2 linked regions of the Lytechinus pictus genome follow. The protein of the gene in region 1 purifies or fractionates together with the protein of each later gene. This does not show direct contact. Links are inferred from orthologs where the notes say so. Each region holds a gene or a part of one and is shown on either strand. Other genes may lie near its edges.

What was found.
Region 2: the proteins of tRNA (adenine(58)-N(1))-methyltransferase non-catalytic subunit TRM6-like (region 1) and tRNA (adenine(58)-N(1))-methyltransferase catalytic subunit TRMT61A-like purify together in Homo sapiens (affinity purification with mass spectrometry; 4 studies listed by BioGRID and IntAct, counting the BioPlex papers as one, with this or other methods). This does not show direct contact. The link is inferred for Lytechinus pictus from reciprocal best matches to the Homo sapiens genes TRMT6 and TRMT61A.

The regions. Positions count from the first base shown.
Region 1 is NC_087251.1:16,792,640-16,800,153, reverse strand, and holds the start of tRNA (adenine(58)-N(1))-methyltransferase non-catalytic subunit TRM6-like, read left to right. Parts: upstream 1-3,945; 5' UTR 3,946-4,520; coding exon 4,521-4,609; intron 4,610-7,514. UniProt on the Homo sapiens protein: Substrate-binding subunit of tRNA (adenine-N(1)-)-methyltransferase, which catalyzes the formation of N(1)-methyladenine at position 58 (m1A58) in initiator methionyl-tRNA.
Region 2 is NC_087251.1:10,839,144-10,846,685, forward strand, and holds the start of tRNA (adenine(58)-N(1))-methyltransferase catalytic subunit TRMT61A-like, read left to right. Parts: upstream 1-4,385; 5' UTR 4,386-4,526; coding exon 4,527-4,857; intron 4,858-7,542. UniProt on the Homo sapiens protein: Catalytic subunit of tRNA (adenine-N(1)-)-methyltransferase, which catalyzes the formation of N(1)-methyladenine at position 58 (m1A58) in initiator methionyl-tRNA.

The sequences.
Region 1 (7,514 bases):
TGATTCATTTTTACTTCACTGATAACATGTAGTTTTGATTATTATTATTATTATTATTTATTTGGCCATAAAAACATACAAATATTGTACAATGTAATTACATAAATACAAAAATAAAACCTGAATAAAAAATAAACCTGAAATAAAACCTAAATTTGAACTTAAACTCTTGACCTGTTTATTGCTTGAAGTTTCTAATTAAAGCCGTGGTACTAGACTACTCTTGGGCCGACTTACCGTTTCTTATCATTCTCGCACTTAACAACATAAGACAAAACCGTTAGTAAGTAGTCATCTTATACTGTATTTTACCCCCTTTTTATTTTGTTTAATTTTTTTATTTTATATCCATTTTCTTATGGTCCTTGCGGGGAGGGGTTCACTTGATTTTCTAGGCCTAGATACAGTTTTTTTTTCTTCTCCTTGTTATTTTTTTTTCCAATCTTATTCCAAAGTCCTTTTCCTTCATTCTCTCTCTCTCCCTTTCTCCCTGACTCACTCTCGAACACATTACTCGTTAAGACTTTGTTTTAGCAAATCGCACCGCGACTCCATCTCATCCCTCGACATCATTATAAACCTGCCTCACCTCATGTTACATTGACCTATTCAACTCTTTTTTCCTATCTATGGTCATTCCTTTCACATTCGCACTGGCCTTTTCATATATTATTTGAACTACTTTTACATGATTGATAAAAAAAAACCTCACCGATGATTCTTGCTGAACCGATCATCATTTAAACTTGTCTCTCATTTTTTGCATTATTCCACTTATTTTACACCATTCGGATTCATTAATATAAAAACGATTATTTCGTGGTACTTGTCCCACCCCATCTTCCCCATATGTATACCGTTATTCATATTTCTATACTATTCTTTAACAAAAAAACTCATTGTACACTTGCCTCACTTCCTTTGAAGTTGGCTTCATACTATTCATTCTTTCAAAAAAATCATTGTACACTTATAATTGCCCGCACCTCCTTTCCAGCTGGCTTCACTATACTAGATTCAATCTTTGTAAAAACATCATTGTGCACTTGCCTCACCTCCTCTCAAGTTGGCTTCACCATAATATTTATGACACTAATTATTCTATTTAACAACCTCAATTGAAACTTGCCTCGCCTCCTTTTAAATTTGTAGTACAGTTTATTCTTTTTAAAAACCTCCATTGAAACTTGCCTCACCTCCTTTCAAATTTGTAGTACAGTTTATTCTTTTTAAAAACCTCAATTGAAACTTGCCTCACCTCCTTTTAAATTGGCTTCACCATAATACAGTTTATTTTTTAAACCACCATTGAAACTTGCCTCACCTCCTTTTGAATTGGCTTCACCATAATTTGTAGTACAGTTTATTCTTTTTTAAAAACCTCCATTGAAACTTGCCTCACCTCCTTTTAAATTGGCTTCACCATAATTTGTAGTACATCAGTTTATTATTTTTTAAAAACCTCCATTGAAACTTGCCTCACCTCCTTTCAAATTTGTAGTACAGTTTATTCTTTTAAAAAACCTCAATTGAAACTTGCCTCACCTCCTTTTAAATTGCATGGCTTCACCATAATACAGTTTATTTTTTAAAACCTCCATTGAAACTTGCCTCACCTCCTTTTAAATTGGCTTCACCATAATACAGTTTATTCTTTTAAAAAACCTCCATTGAGGCTTGCCTCACCTCGATCCTTTTAAATTGGCTTCACCATAATTTGTAGTACAGTTAATTCTTTTTTTAAAACCTCCATTGAAACTTGCCTCACCTCCTTTTAAATTGGCTTCACCATAATACAGTTTATTCTTTTTAAATACCTCCATTGAGGCTTGCCTCACCTCCTTTTAAATTTGCTTCACCATAATTTGTAGTACAGTTTATTCTTTTTAAAAACCTCGATTGAAACTTGCCTCACCTCCTTTCAAATTTGTAGTACAGTATTATTCTTTTTAAAAACCTCAATTGAAACTTGCCTCACCTCCTTTCAAATTTGTAGTACAGTTTATTCTTTTTAAAAATCTCCATTAAAACTCGCCTCACCTCCTTTTAAATTGGCTTCACCATAATTTGTAGTAGTTTATTCTTTTTAAAAACGGACTTGCCTCGCCTCCTTTTAAATTGCCTTCACCATAACTTGTAATACAGTTTATTCTTTTTAAAAACCTCCATTGAAACTTGCCTCACCTCCTTTTAAATTGGCTTCACCATAATTTGTAGTACAGTTTATTCTATTTATAAACCTCCATTGAAACTTGCCTCACCTCCTTTTAAATTTGTAGTACAGTTTATTTTTTTTAAAACCTCCATTGAAACTTGCCTCACCTCCTTTTAAATTGGCTTCACCATAATACAGTTTATTCTTTTCAAAAACCTCCATTGAGGCTTGCCTCACCTCCTTTTAAATTGGCTTCACCATAACTTGTAATACGTACAGTTTATTCTTTTTAAAAACCTCCATTGAAACTTGCCTCACCTCCTTTTAAATTGGCTTCACCATTGCATAATTTGTAGTACAGTTTATTCTATTTATAAACCTCCATTGAAACTTGCCTCACCTCCTTTTAAATTTGTAGTACAGTTTATTTTTTTTAAAACCTCCATTGAAACTTGCCTCACCTCCTTTTAAATTGGCTTCACCATAATACAGTTTATTCTTTTCAAAAACCTCCATTGAGGCTTGCCTCACCTCCTTTTAAATTGGCTTCACCATAACTTGTAATACAGTTTATTCTTTATTTTAAAAACCTCCATTGAAACTTGCCTCACCTCCTTTTAAATTGGCTTCACCATAATTTGTAGTACAGTTTATTCTATTTATAAACCTCCATTGAAACTTGCCTCACCTCCTTTTAAATTTGTAGTACAGTTTATTTTTTTTAAAACCTCCATTGAAACTTGCCTCACCTCCTTTTAAACTGGCTTCACCATAATACAGTTTATTCTTTTTAAAAACCTCAATTGAAACTTGCCTCACCTCCTTTTAAATTGGCTTCACCATAATTTGTAGTACAGTTTATTATTTTTTAAAAACCTCCATTGAAACTTGCCTCGCCTCCTTTTAAATTTGTAGTACAGTTTATTCTTTTTAAAAACCTCCATTGAAACTTGCCTCACCTCCTTTCAAATTTGTAGTACAGTTTATTCTTTTAAAAAACCTCAATTGAAACTTGCCTCACCTCCTTTTAAATTGGCTTCACCATAATACAGTTTATTTTTTAAAACCTCCATTGAAACTTGCCTCACCTCCTTTTAAATTGGCTTCACCATAATACAGTTTATTCTTTTTAAAAACCTCCATTGAGGCTTGCCTCACCTCCTTTTAAATTGGCTTCACCATAACTTGTAATACAGTTTATTCTTTTTAAAAACCTCCATTGAAACTTGCCTCACCTCCTTTTAAATTGGCTTCACCATAATTTGTAGTACAGTTTATTCTATTTATAAACCTCCATTGAAACTTGCCTCACCTCCTTTTAAATTGGCTTCACCATAATATTCAGGTAAGGTATATTCATTCTTTTTTTAAAAAACATCATTGTTCACTTCCCTCACCTAGATCATTTGGGTATATATAATACCTTTTATTCTACACTATTCTTCCCTTAAAAAAAACCTGATTGTACTCCTGCCTCCCCTGATCTGACATTTGCCTCTCAACGTACTGGAAATAGATACCCTTTTTTCAATATTTTTGTGTTTTTGACACCCTTATCACGTTACGTACGTAACGTGCCCCCGGGGGGGCACTCGACCAAAAAAGTGGTAGGGGTGTGCCGCGGGCGAGGCAAAAAACGGGGGCCTTGGAGTGGGCTTATTGTAAAAAGGAGGGTCCTCGGAACGGGCTTCGGAACTACAAATGTTTGTGAAAACGGGGGTCCTCGGAACGGATCTCCATATCTCTGTGAATGCGTATGCATCCCTATGGAACGGGCAATCGTGCATGCTGACGCAGCTAGCGCGGCCTCGATCCGCCGGGTGCGCTCGCGCTTAGGCGATGGTCGAAAAGCGCTCTACGGCCGCTTTTCACCAAAATTGTAGCAGATCAATGCGACCGAAACGGTATCCATGGTATCCACTCGTCAATGTAAGTGGCACCCCCGGGCGTACTGTCCATAGTGTTATTTTATTATCTCTTTGTATCGGAAACTTCGTTTTACCGAATTGCCATGCACTCTCTCCGACGCGTTTGAAGTCTTAGACAGCATGGCATACTACCAGCCGATGGTACACACACGCACACACACACACGTTATTTGACAACTTGTCTCTGGAGCCAAAGTTCCTCGCATATAACTATCTGCATGCCTGCACGCAGTGTGTATTGAACACGCACGACCACGATCTAATGAATATTCATCGGCGAGACTGACGTCATTTTACGAGTCTCCTTTCAAACTTGGATCAAAAGTGCCTACCATGTACAAAATTGTCCCGAGAATCCACTAACTCGTGAGGTCGTAGATGCCGTGTTCACATTCAATAATCCAGCTGTTTTGTGTGATTTGTATTCATCCACTTCGATGGATCATCAAAATTTGATAGCGGAGGGTGACAATGTCATACTGAAGAAAGATAAAACCTTGAGAGTGTACAGAGCTCTTAAAAAAGAGTGAGTTTTTTTTTATTTGAAACATTATCTTTCAGTATCAGTCCCATGAACTCAAATATTTGTAAGTTGCCTTGATGATCTGACGATCGTGGTCGCTCGCCTCGCGTCCGACGGCGACGGGCGATGAAAACTACCTCGAGCGAAGTTCGTGCAGGCTCCACTCCACACTACCGCTACACTATGCTCCACCTACCTGAACTTCGAGACCATGAACTCGATCGGATATTCCGAGTGACAAAAGGTGGGATTTTATGGGGAGAAAATACAAAATTTATGCAACATCGCATCACGATCTTTACTTTAGTTTAAAAACAAGTAGATGTACAAGTAGGCCTACAACTAATAATATTCTTACTTTACACAAAGTTTCACTTCTTTTCCATGCTTCTATCAGTATCAGTCTCAAAATTGATGATTTAGAGCCAACATGAAGTTCCTCAGGCCTCACACGTAAAATATTATAATTCGCTGCCAATTTCAGAACATCGCATGCGCGCGCGCGCGAGGGTCCGAGCTCGGACCAGACCCTCCCGCATGCGATGTTTTGAAGTCGGCAGCGCATTAATATTTATACGTGTGAGAAACTTCATGTTGGCTCTAAATCATCAATTTTGAGACTGATAGAAGCATGGAAAAGAATAACCCAGAGAGCTCCGGCCCGCGTAGCGGGCCGGAGCCCAGACGCTCAGTGTGCAAACGGGCATTCAGGTGAGAGTACCGTGAAGTTTGGTCAAAATAATTTTGATAATAAATAATTAAAACAGAAATTAAGCACTTACCACGATTGTATGGATGATAGTCTAACGAGTGGCAGTTTCCTGACATCGAGGCACAGACTGGAACCTCAAAAAACGATCAGTTCTGTCGCGGTAGCTCTCCTCTTTCAGAATTCAACACAAAATGGCCGATCGAGACCGAGGCTAGTATAGCACTAGCGCATATAGACTTTGTCAAATTCGCGCATGCGCCCTACACCCTCTCGAACGGCCATTTTGCTATGAATTTTGAAAGAAGGAGAGCCACCGCGACAGAACTGATCGTTTTTTGAGGTTCCAGTCTGTGCCTCGATGTCAGGAAACTGCCACTCGTTAGACTATCATCCATACAATCGTGGTAAGTGCTTAATTTCTGTTTTAATTATTTATTATCAAAATTATTTTGACCAAACTTCACGGTACTCTCACCTGAATGCCCGTTTGCACACTGAGCGTCTGGGCTCCGGCCCGCTACGCGGGCCGGAGCTCTCTGGGTTAGGAAAAGAAGTGAAACTTTGTGTAAAGTAAGAATATTAGTTGTACTTGTTTTTAAAGATCGTGATGTTGCATGAATTTTGTATTTTCTCCCCATAAAATCCCACCTTTTGTCACTCGGAATATCCGATCGAGTTCATGGTCTCGAAGTTCGGGTAGGTAGAGCATAGTGTAGCGGTAGTGAAGTGGAGTGGAGCCTGCACGAACTTCGCTCGAGGTAGATGAAAACGTGCAATATCCATATAGGCCCTAGATAGATTTCATGTACTTTGCTCATTTTTACTCTTCTACAGTAGAGGCGCACGGCCAATAAATATTGGAGACTGTCTCCAATGTGGGAGATTATCTCCAATATCAGAGACTTTTGTAAAGAATTTGGGTATCCAATTTAAGAGTAATGTTGTAAATCGGATCAAAAATCGGATCGGCAGTTAAGCTTCTAAAATCGAAATCGAATCGAAAATCGAATCGGCGATGTTTAAAAACAAAGGAATACATCAAAATGTTGTTCGCGGTCACGCGCATCTTCCTGACAAAGTCACAAAGACGAATGCATTGGAATGGAAGTCGCCAACATGCGCGATCGTATGGAACATGTTTTAAAGCCAGGGGTTTTGAGGTGTTATTGCTTTAAAATAAACCGAGTGATTTTTATTAGAAAGATAAACGAAAGACGCATCTTCCGAGCAAAGGCGCAAAGGAAAATAAAATGAAAATATTTCTCATAGATCACAGGTTAATGAACGATCGGCGGGACATCTTTTAGAAGTATTTTTAGGTGCTAGCGATTTAGAATTATTGGAATGATCTCTTACGACGCATCATCTTAAAGTCGCAATTAAGTGCAATTAAAATGAAGTAGACGACGCAAGCACGCACGATGATTTGAAATATGTTATTAAAATGTTTTGGGTCATGTGGGTAGCTAGCGTTTTCAAATCAATTTGAAGTTCACGGCGGGGTCCGCTATCACCACGAGGTTGAAAATAAAATGTAAATCATCATAAACGATGTAAGAGAGTAACGCAATGAGCTCCGTCAATAGTACGACCTTTCAAAGTTCACGGCGGCATCCGCTATCACCACGAGGTTGAAAATAAAATGTATATCATCATAAACGATGTAAGAGAGTAACGCAATAAGCTCCGTCAGTAGCACGATCTTTAAAAGTTCACGGCGGGGTCCGCTATCACCACGAGGTTGAAAATAAAATGTAAATCATCATAAACGATGTAAGAGAGTAATGCAAAGAGCTCCGTCAATAGTACGACCTTTCAAAGTTCACGGCGGCATCCGCTATCACCACGAGGTTGAAAATAAAATGAATATCATCATAAACGATGTAAGAGAGCAACGCAATAAGCTCCGTCAATAGTACAGTCTTTAAAAGTTAATGGCGGGGTCCGCTATCACCACGAGGTTGAAGAGAAGATTTATATCATTATAAAGGGGGTAAGAGAGTAGCGCAGTGAGCTCCGTCGGTAATACGACCTTTCAAAGTTCACGGCGGCTTCCGCTATCACCACGAGGTTGAAAATAAAATGTAAATCATCATAAACGATGTAAGAGAGTAACGCAATGAGCTCCGTCAATAGTACGACCTTTCAAAGTTCACGGCGGGGTCCGCTATCACCACGAGGTTGAAAATAAAATGT
Region 2 (7,542 bases), about 6.0 Mb from region 1:
CTCTAGAAAGGTTATTTGTTATTTTTTAAATTAGATGTTATTTGGTTGCCATGGCAATGGCTTGAAATGTAAATTACACATTTAGCAACCAAAATATCTTTGTTTAGCACTGTAAAATTAGGGGAAAATAAAGATAAATCATATTCTACAACGTTTTTTTAATCAAAATTTTTATTTTTCTGGGGAAAAACAAGCCGTTGACATGGCAACGGACCAATTTGAACTATCTTGGTGATCTTGAATATTTCTAAATTTCATATGTATTCAATTGGGAGCCTAAAAATTATCATTTTGGTCATCTATATCATGTTTATTTACCATTTACATGGGAATGTATGTTATTTTTTAGAAATTAATCCGTTGCCGAAAATGGCATTTATAAATTTACCTCTCATCTTTAAAATAAATCTTACGGCATATACTAATACTTTCATGCTTTAGTCATAATTTGCACAATTTGGTTCGGCTTATCCGCTCTACTAATACAGTTGTGTGTGCTCAAAAGTTAGTGAACCCTAACAGAAATTGCACTCCTTCATACCGAGTGTTGAATGTAGACAACGGTACAATGTTCGGCAAGCCCAGATAAATTTATTGAATGTAATATTTTCTCACCTGACTCTACAATTAGATATCTCTTAAAACAGAACTTGAACGCTAAAATAGGTTAATTTTTTTGGTAAAGTTCACTAACTTGTAAGCACCACTGTATATATTATTTTCATTGAAATAGGTTGTATGATAGTACGCTATGATCTGTCAATATCAAGTTACATTGATGACCACCTCGCTAGTCTACTACCACCCCCATCTGAGCAGATCATTAGACTTATATGAACTTGATATGTGCTATGGATATGACCGTTTGCTTTTGAAATAAGGACTGAATTTCAATTTCATCCAAGATTTTGGTCTGAAATGGCCTTTGACCTGGGTCCAATGACCTGAAAGTTTTTATTCACACAATGGGTGACTGAGGCTCCCACTGGCGTAAATCCCGGGGGGGATGGGGGGGGGATATATCCCCCCCACTTTTGGAGGAGGGGGGGGGGTGGCCAGTACAAACATCCCCCCACTTTTTACGAAAGAAATTTTTAAAAAATCACAAGAGATAAGTGTTTTATTGGTGAAAATTCTTCCTGAAATACCGCTTAACAAATAAAACAATATCATTGAATCATATAAAAATGCAAATAAAGAGCCAGTTCACCATTTCCAAACGAAATACTTATGTCCTTATTATAACATTGAAGAGAAACTCCCGTTTCTTCCAATTCATCAATGTTGGGGTCTTTGGGAAGGGATTAAGATGGAATGTCAATTCTTTTTTAATGTAATCTCTAATAAAACCATTAAACCATCATGGGGTAAAAAAGATAATAATATTGGAGGGGTATTTGCCATATGGACATACAGTGGCGTAACTACGGGGGGGGGGGGGGCATGGGGGGCACGCCCCTCCCCCCAATCGGCTGACAAAAAAAAAACGGGGAAAAGGGGGAAAGGAGAAAAGAGGGAGAAAGAAGAGAAGCGTATAGTGGGAAAGAAGAAAATATTATTCATTATAATGTTATATTATAATTATGTTATGTTACATTACATAAGAAACATTTTTATCATAACTTCATGAAACATAATTTGCCCAGGGCCTACGTCTTCATTGTTCCTGGTGCTTGCATTGTCTGTTAACGAGATATATAATCCTGTTGTACTGAAACATCCCGTTTTCAAGTCAATATAAACCAAATATATTTCCTATAGCACTTGAGTTATCATTGTTTTATGTAATGACATATGCTTCTTTTACATGACTCAAAAAGTGATTGCCCCATGTTAAGGTCTTCGTATATATGAAACATTTCCTGTCCGTGATTACGTTCGCATTAGTGGATTGGTGAGATATGTCTGCTCTTCATGAATTCCTAAAATCAGTCCTTAAAATGTCCCTTCTTCTGATCTGAATATCAAAAATTTTCAGCTTGCGCTTCGCGCTCGCATCATTTGGATATTGAATTACGTATGGTCCTAGTTAATTCCTACAAAGAAACCTTAGAATGCCCCACTTCAGGTCTGAATTATCTAAATTTTCAGCTCGCGCTTCGCGCTCGCAATTTTTGACCCGGGGGGGCCACTTCCATTCACGAGTGGATACCATGCGCGACCATGGGGTCTCGAAAAGCACCCAAAACACGTAATTTCCATATTCTGAAAATGCACCCCTTAACAAGTATTGGCGCGTGAAACCCTACCCTTAACAAGTATTGGAAACAAAACGATACTCTTGGCAAATATTCCCTGAAATGAACCCCTAAACAAGTACAGGAATATTTTATTGTTACGGGTCCTTCGGTCGTCGGCTTTACCTTATTTGGTTTAGTACGACCCCACTTTCTACACCTCGCGCAAATCGGACTCTAAACACGAAGTTTTGGGGCAAAATGGACATCCTTTATAAAACATTTTAATTTTGTTTTATCATTCCCGCAAATTCGACCCTAAACACGTAATTTTCCTAGCGAAATAGACACCCTTTTTTCATTATTTTTGTGTTTTTGACACCCTTATCACGTTACGTACGTTACGTGCCCTATCGTGAAAAGGACATCCTTTTTACGTGTTTTTTTGGTCGCGCATGGTATCCACTCGTCAATGTAAGTGGCCCCCCCGGGATTTTTGATTAGTGAGATGCGTATGATAATCATGATTGCAATGACTACAAAAAGTGTTTCATGTGTTCAGATATAATTCTTATAAACCAGCAAGCGCTTGGCACTCGCATTAGATGACTATGGTGAGATATGCATACTCTTAATGGATTCCTAAAATATATTCCTCAAAATATCGCTGTTTGCATGGGGTCAGAATATACGAAAACTTCAGCTCGCGCTTCGCGCTCGTATTGTTTAGCGAGACAGGTACCTATCATGATTACACAAATTTGACAATAATGTCTCTTTTTAGGTGTGAATATTAAAAAAAATCAGCTCGCGCTTCGCGCTCGCATTATTTGATCAGGGAGATGCATATCCGTTTAATGACATTGTCCAGAAAATGTCTCTATTAGGTCAGTATAACTGGCAACTGAGCGCGCTCACTCAGTGATTCAAACATTTTGCTGGTGCCCCCCTCCCCAATGCCGTGACCCACCGTACGCCACTGTGGACATATCACTAATGACAATTCCTTGCATATCTAAAAACATGATTGCAAAAAAAAAAGCCAAAATATTTCAGTCATCCCCCCACCCATCAACACGGATTTACGCCAGTGGAGGCTCCTATAGGACTATGCAAACTTCATGGAATATATTTTTTTTCAGAGAACAAAATAGGGCCTAATATATTTGATAACAAAAAACAGAATTCATTGACCTCGGTTGATCTTGACTTTTAAATACATTATTAAGTTCATGTTAAATTTTATATTCTGATTCAATAAAACCATTCCACACAAATTTCTTGATTTTATATAAAGTTAAGTGATCTGAAATGACCTTTGACCTTGACCCATGATCTGAACAATGTACTCCGGCATATTGCTAATACCGAATAACTGATAACTACTCTATTCAATTTTAGCAATATAAGGGCCTTGTGATTTCAAAATATCTTGAGATGGTTAACCTTCTGTTAAACTGCACGGTTTATACAAATTTATTGACCCTAATAGTGTCACAAAATCTGTCATTGGTGCAGTTAGCAAACAGGCCCTCCACAATGTAAAAATGACTACAAGGTGGATGACATGCTCTTAACAATGAAAAGGGAATTAAAATTGTCAAAAGCAGGGGAAAAATATTTGGTGTAAGTTGGCCTCTGTACTCTCCTAATTTCCAAATCCAATAGGTAAAAACCTGTATTTTTTATTTGCTTTTTAGTGACTTCAACATTTATAAACAACAATGAAATACTTATGAAATCATAAACTGACAAATAACTTCATACATGTACATCAAGGTACCAGTATAAAATAACAGAATTGAATTGCATGGACCTGGATAATCATCGAACCATATATGGAGCTAACAGTACGATCGAATCCCCTTCACCCTTCCCCCCTGGCAGTGGCGTACCTAGGATTTTCCACAGGGGGGGGGCAAAACCGTCAGCCAAAAAAATTGACAAGCAAAAAAAAAAAAAAAAAGGTCTTAAATCACAAATATAAAAGGATTTAGTACCAGAAAAAAAAAAAAAGGTCTTCAAGCTCGTCAGGGGGGCAATAAAGGTCTTCAAGCTCGTCAGGGGGGCAAAAAAGGTCTTTCAAGCTCGTCAGGGGGGCATGGATACGTCCTTTGCATGGGTTGTGGCTCGTCAGGGGGGCAGACTGCCCCCCCCCCCCCCCCGTATGACGCTAGTGCCCCCTGGCCTCCCCTCCATCGGTGATCCATACATTAACGGATAACACGTGTGCGCAGCTGGATGTAGCCAATGCACTGCGGCAGCCTGAGCCCTGGGCCTGACTACCTTGTCTTTGTCTTTGAAAATAAAACTTATCAAACTAAGTCATTTGGTAGTTAGTCGATCATCATGAGTTTTGTAGGATACGAGGAAAAGGTTCGCCCTAATGACACAGTGATAATTTTTCTTGGACATGATTCGATGATGCCGCTAAAAATGGTTTTTGGGTGCACAACTCAAACCAAGTACGGAGCCCTGCGCCACTCTGAAATCATCGGGAAACGTTACGGGTCGAAATTATCGACTGTCGGTGGAAAAGGATGGGTTTACGTGCTTCATCCTACTCCAGAGTTATGGACTGAAAATCTTCCTCATAGAACTCAAGTGTTGTATTTTCCAGATATCAGTTTATTGACGATCGAGTTAGAACTGAAACCAGGCAGTATTGTGGTTGAAGCAGGTAGATCTATTCGTCGTTATTTCGCCAATATTTAGATTCATAATCAGTCATTGGCGGTAGTGCACTTTCGCACCCCAGCCCGGAGTTCACTCAGCTCAGCTCAGCCCTAGCCAGGAGGCTCCTAAAGAGTAAAGATCATTTACTAAGTAACGTATGCTTACCCTCCATGGAGCCAGGAATTCCTTCCCATTCATCTGCACGTACCGTCAAAAACTGAAACTTTTGCCCCCGACTCGAGATTTCTACTTCTAATTATAAGCCTACGCCTAAATCATGTAAAAAAAAACTAAATCGGGATATAACTTTATAAGTTACAACTTCATTTCTCCGCTATCAAATTCATTTTTAAACAAGAATTCATTAAAAAATTAGAAAAATATTGCAAAAAGATGGAGGAGACTTGCCCGATGTTTATGCCGCTATCTTGTTTCCTGACCTAAGTATTGACTATTGTTCACCAACGTTACATTGATGAATTTGATTTTGATGAATTCTTGTTTAAAAATGAAATCGATAGCGTAGAAATGTCGGAAATGAAGTTGTATCCCATGTAAATGATTAAGGGCTAGATCTTTTAGGAGAGTACAAATCTCAGGAGCGAAAGTTTCAGGTTTTTTGGCGGTACGTGCAGATGAATCGGAAGGAATTCCTGGCTCCATGGAGAGTAAGCATACGTTAGTAAATGATTTGTAGGAGCCTCCTGGCTAGCTCAGCCTCGGTGCTCGCTGTTGACGAAGCTTGCGAACTGACTTCGGGGTGCGAAAGTGCACTAATATTGACACGACTATCTTATAACATACAAATAATGCTTGCAGCCGAGTGCGTTAGTGGAAATGCAGAGCACGTGAGGTTTCTTTTGATAGGTGCCACACTGCACTAGCCGCTGGCAGCGAGTGCCCAGTGTGCACCATCTGAAGAAACCGAGCTTTCTCTCAAATTCTCTGCATTTACTTTTGCGCACGATAGAGCGAGTGCATTATTTGTTTTATAAAATAGCAACACAAACAAATTCTTAAAAAGTTACAGTGCAGAAGTTTTATTGGACTTCTCCCGGGACTTCTACCGCACTTGTCTGCTTGAGCGTGCAATGTCAATTTTCGTTGCGCACCTTTTGCGCTGCCGTGCAATGCACAAAAAGTTGGATGTCATGTGACGCGTATTGGCCAATTGCGATGCTGGAGATAATACACCTATTTGATAAAACCCTTAATTTTTAAACTAAAGACTCATTTAAAGTTTTTAAAAGCTCACCAAATAAGTTCTCTGTAATGTAAGATCCCAAGGGCGATTCCACACTAGAACTTCAAAAATAAGTAGTGTAATATTTTACTATGATACCTAAATTTTATGAAAATTATGAGTTTTAACCAAAAGTGAAGTCAGATCTATTTTTTTGGGGGGAAAACAATGGAATTTTCAATTTTCAATAATTTTGCTAATTAAATAGTCCAGTACAAAGTTACTACAAACACTGCCTGAAATGATTATTGGCAAAGCACAAGAAGATTGAAAATATTGCAGGTCAATGGAAAATGTATCATTGATGGTTCCAAATAATATCTACAACATTTTCATGATCCATACTAGGGGCAGCCCTGATTTTTCCGATCCTATTTTTGGCAATGTCCCGTACGACACACAATATATACTGCATTTAATTGCAGGATTTGGATTCAGAAACTATAAATAATAGGCCTATTTTAATTTAAGTAATTGATAAAGTGAACTGAAAAAGTACTTTTTTTATCTCCATAGAACATGAAATAAGTGATTCTAACCATTTTAATTGACGTCATGTAGGCGTATTCTTTTGTGAATCTCTTCAGCCAAACTGCCAAAACGGGTGATTTTCACTGGTCAAAGCATTGAGCATGAAAAGAAAGCCTTTATAATTGATTCATCCTAGCCTGGAAGATGACTTCCTCTTGCATGCTAATGTGAAATTATAAGATGTAAAAAAAAATATTTACATATCAATCAATATAATAACTTAATAATTTAGTCTTATATAGCGCTTTTCATGGAATCATATCAAAGCGCTTTACAATGTAGAACATACTAAATATACAAACATAAGTGAAATTAGAAATCATTTTACTAAAAAATAAAAAATATCAAGGACACTGTAAATGGGGCTATGTTGAATATGCTTTCTTCGTGAGGTACGTCTTTAAATTAGATCGAAACGAAGTGATATTTGGGATACAACGGAGGGAAGCTGGAAGAGTGTTCCAAAGACGTGGGGCAGAGCTTGAAAAGGACCTATCACCAAAAAGTTTAGTTTTTGCTTTTTTGACTGTTAAGAAATTTTGATTTGCAGAACGAAGGGACCTACTGGGAGTATATGCCTATTAAATCAGAGAGATATTTTGGAGCATGTCCATGAAGAGATTTGAATGTTAGGAGTAGAATTTTGAATTGTATACGAAATTTAATGGGGAGCCAGTGCAATTGTTTAAGAGTAGGTGTTACATGGTCATGTTTTTAGTGAGGGAAACTTGACGGGCTGCAGAGTTTTGTATTCTCTGCAGCTTAGAAATATTCTTTTCTGGAATTCCATGGAGCAGGCTATTGCAACTGTCAAGAAGTGAACTAATAAATGCATGAATGAGGACTTCAGTAGATGACTTTGAGAGATATTTTCGAATTTTACCAATTTTTCTTAGGGCAAAGGATGCTTTACGA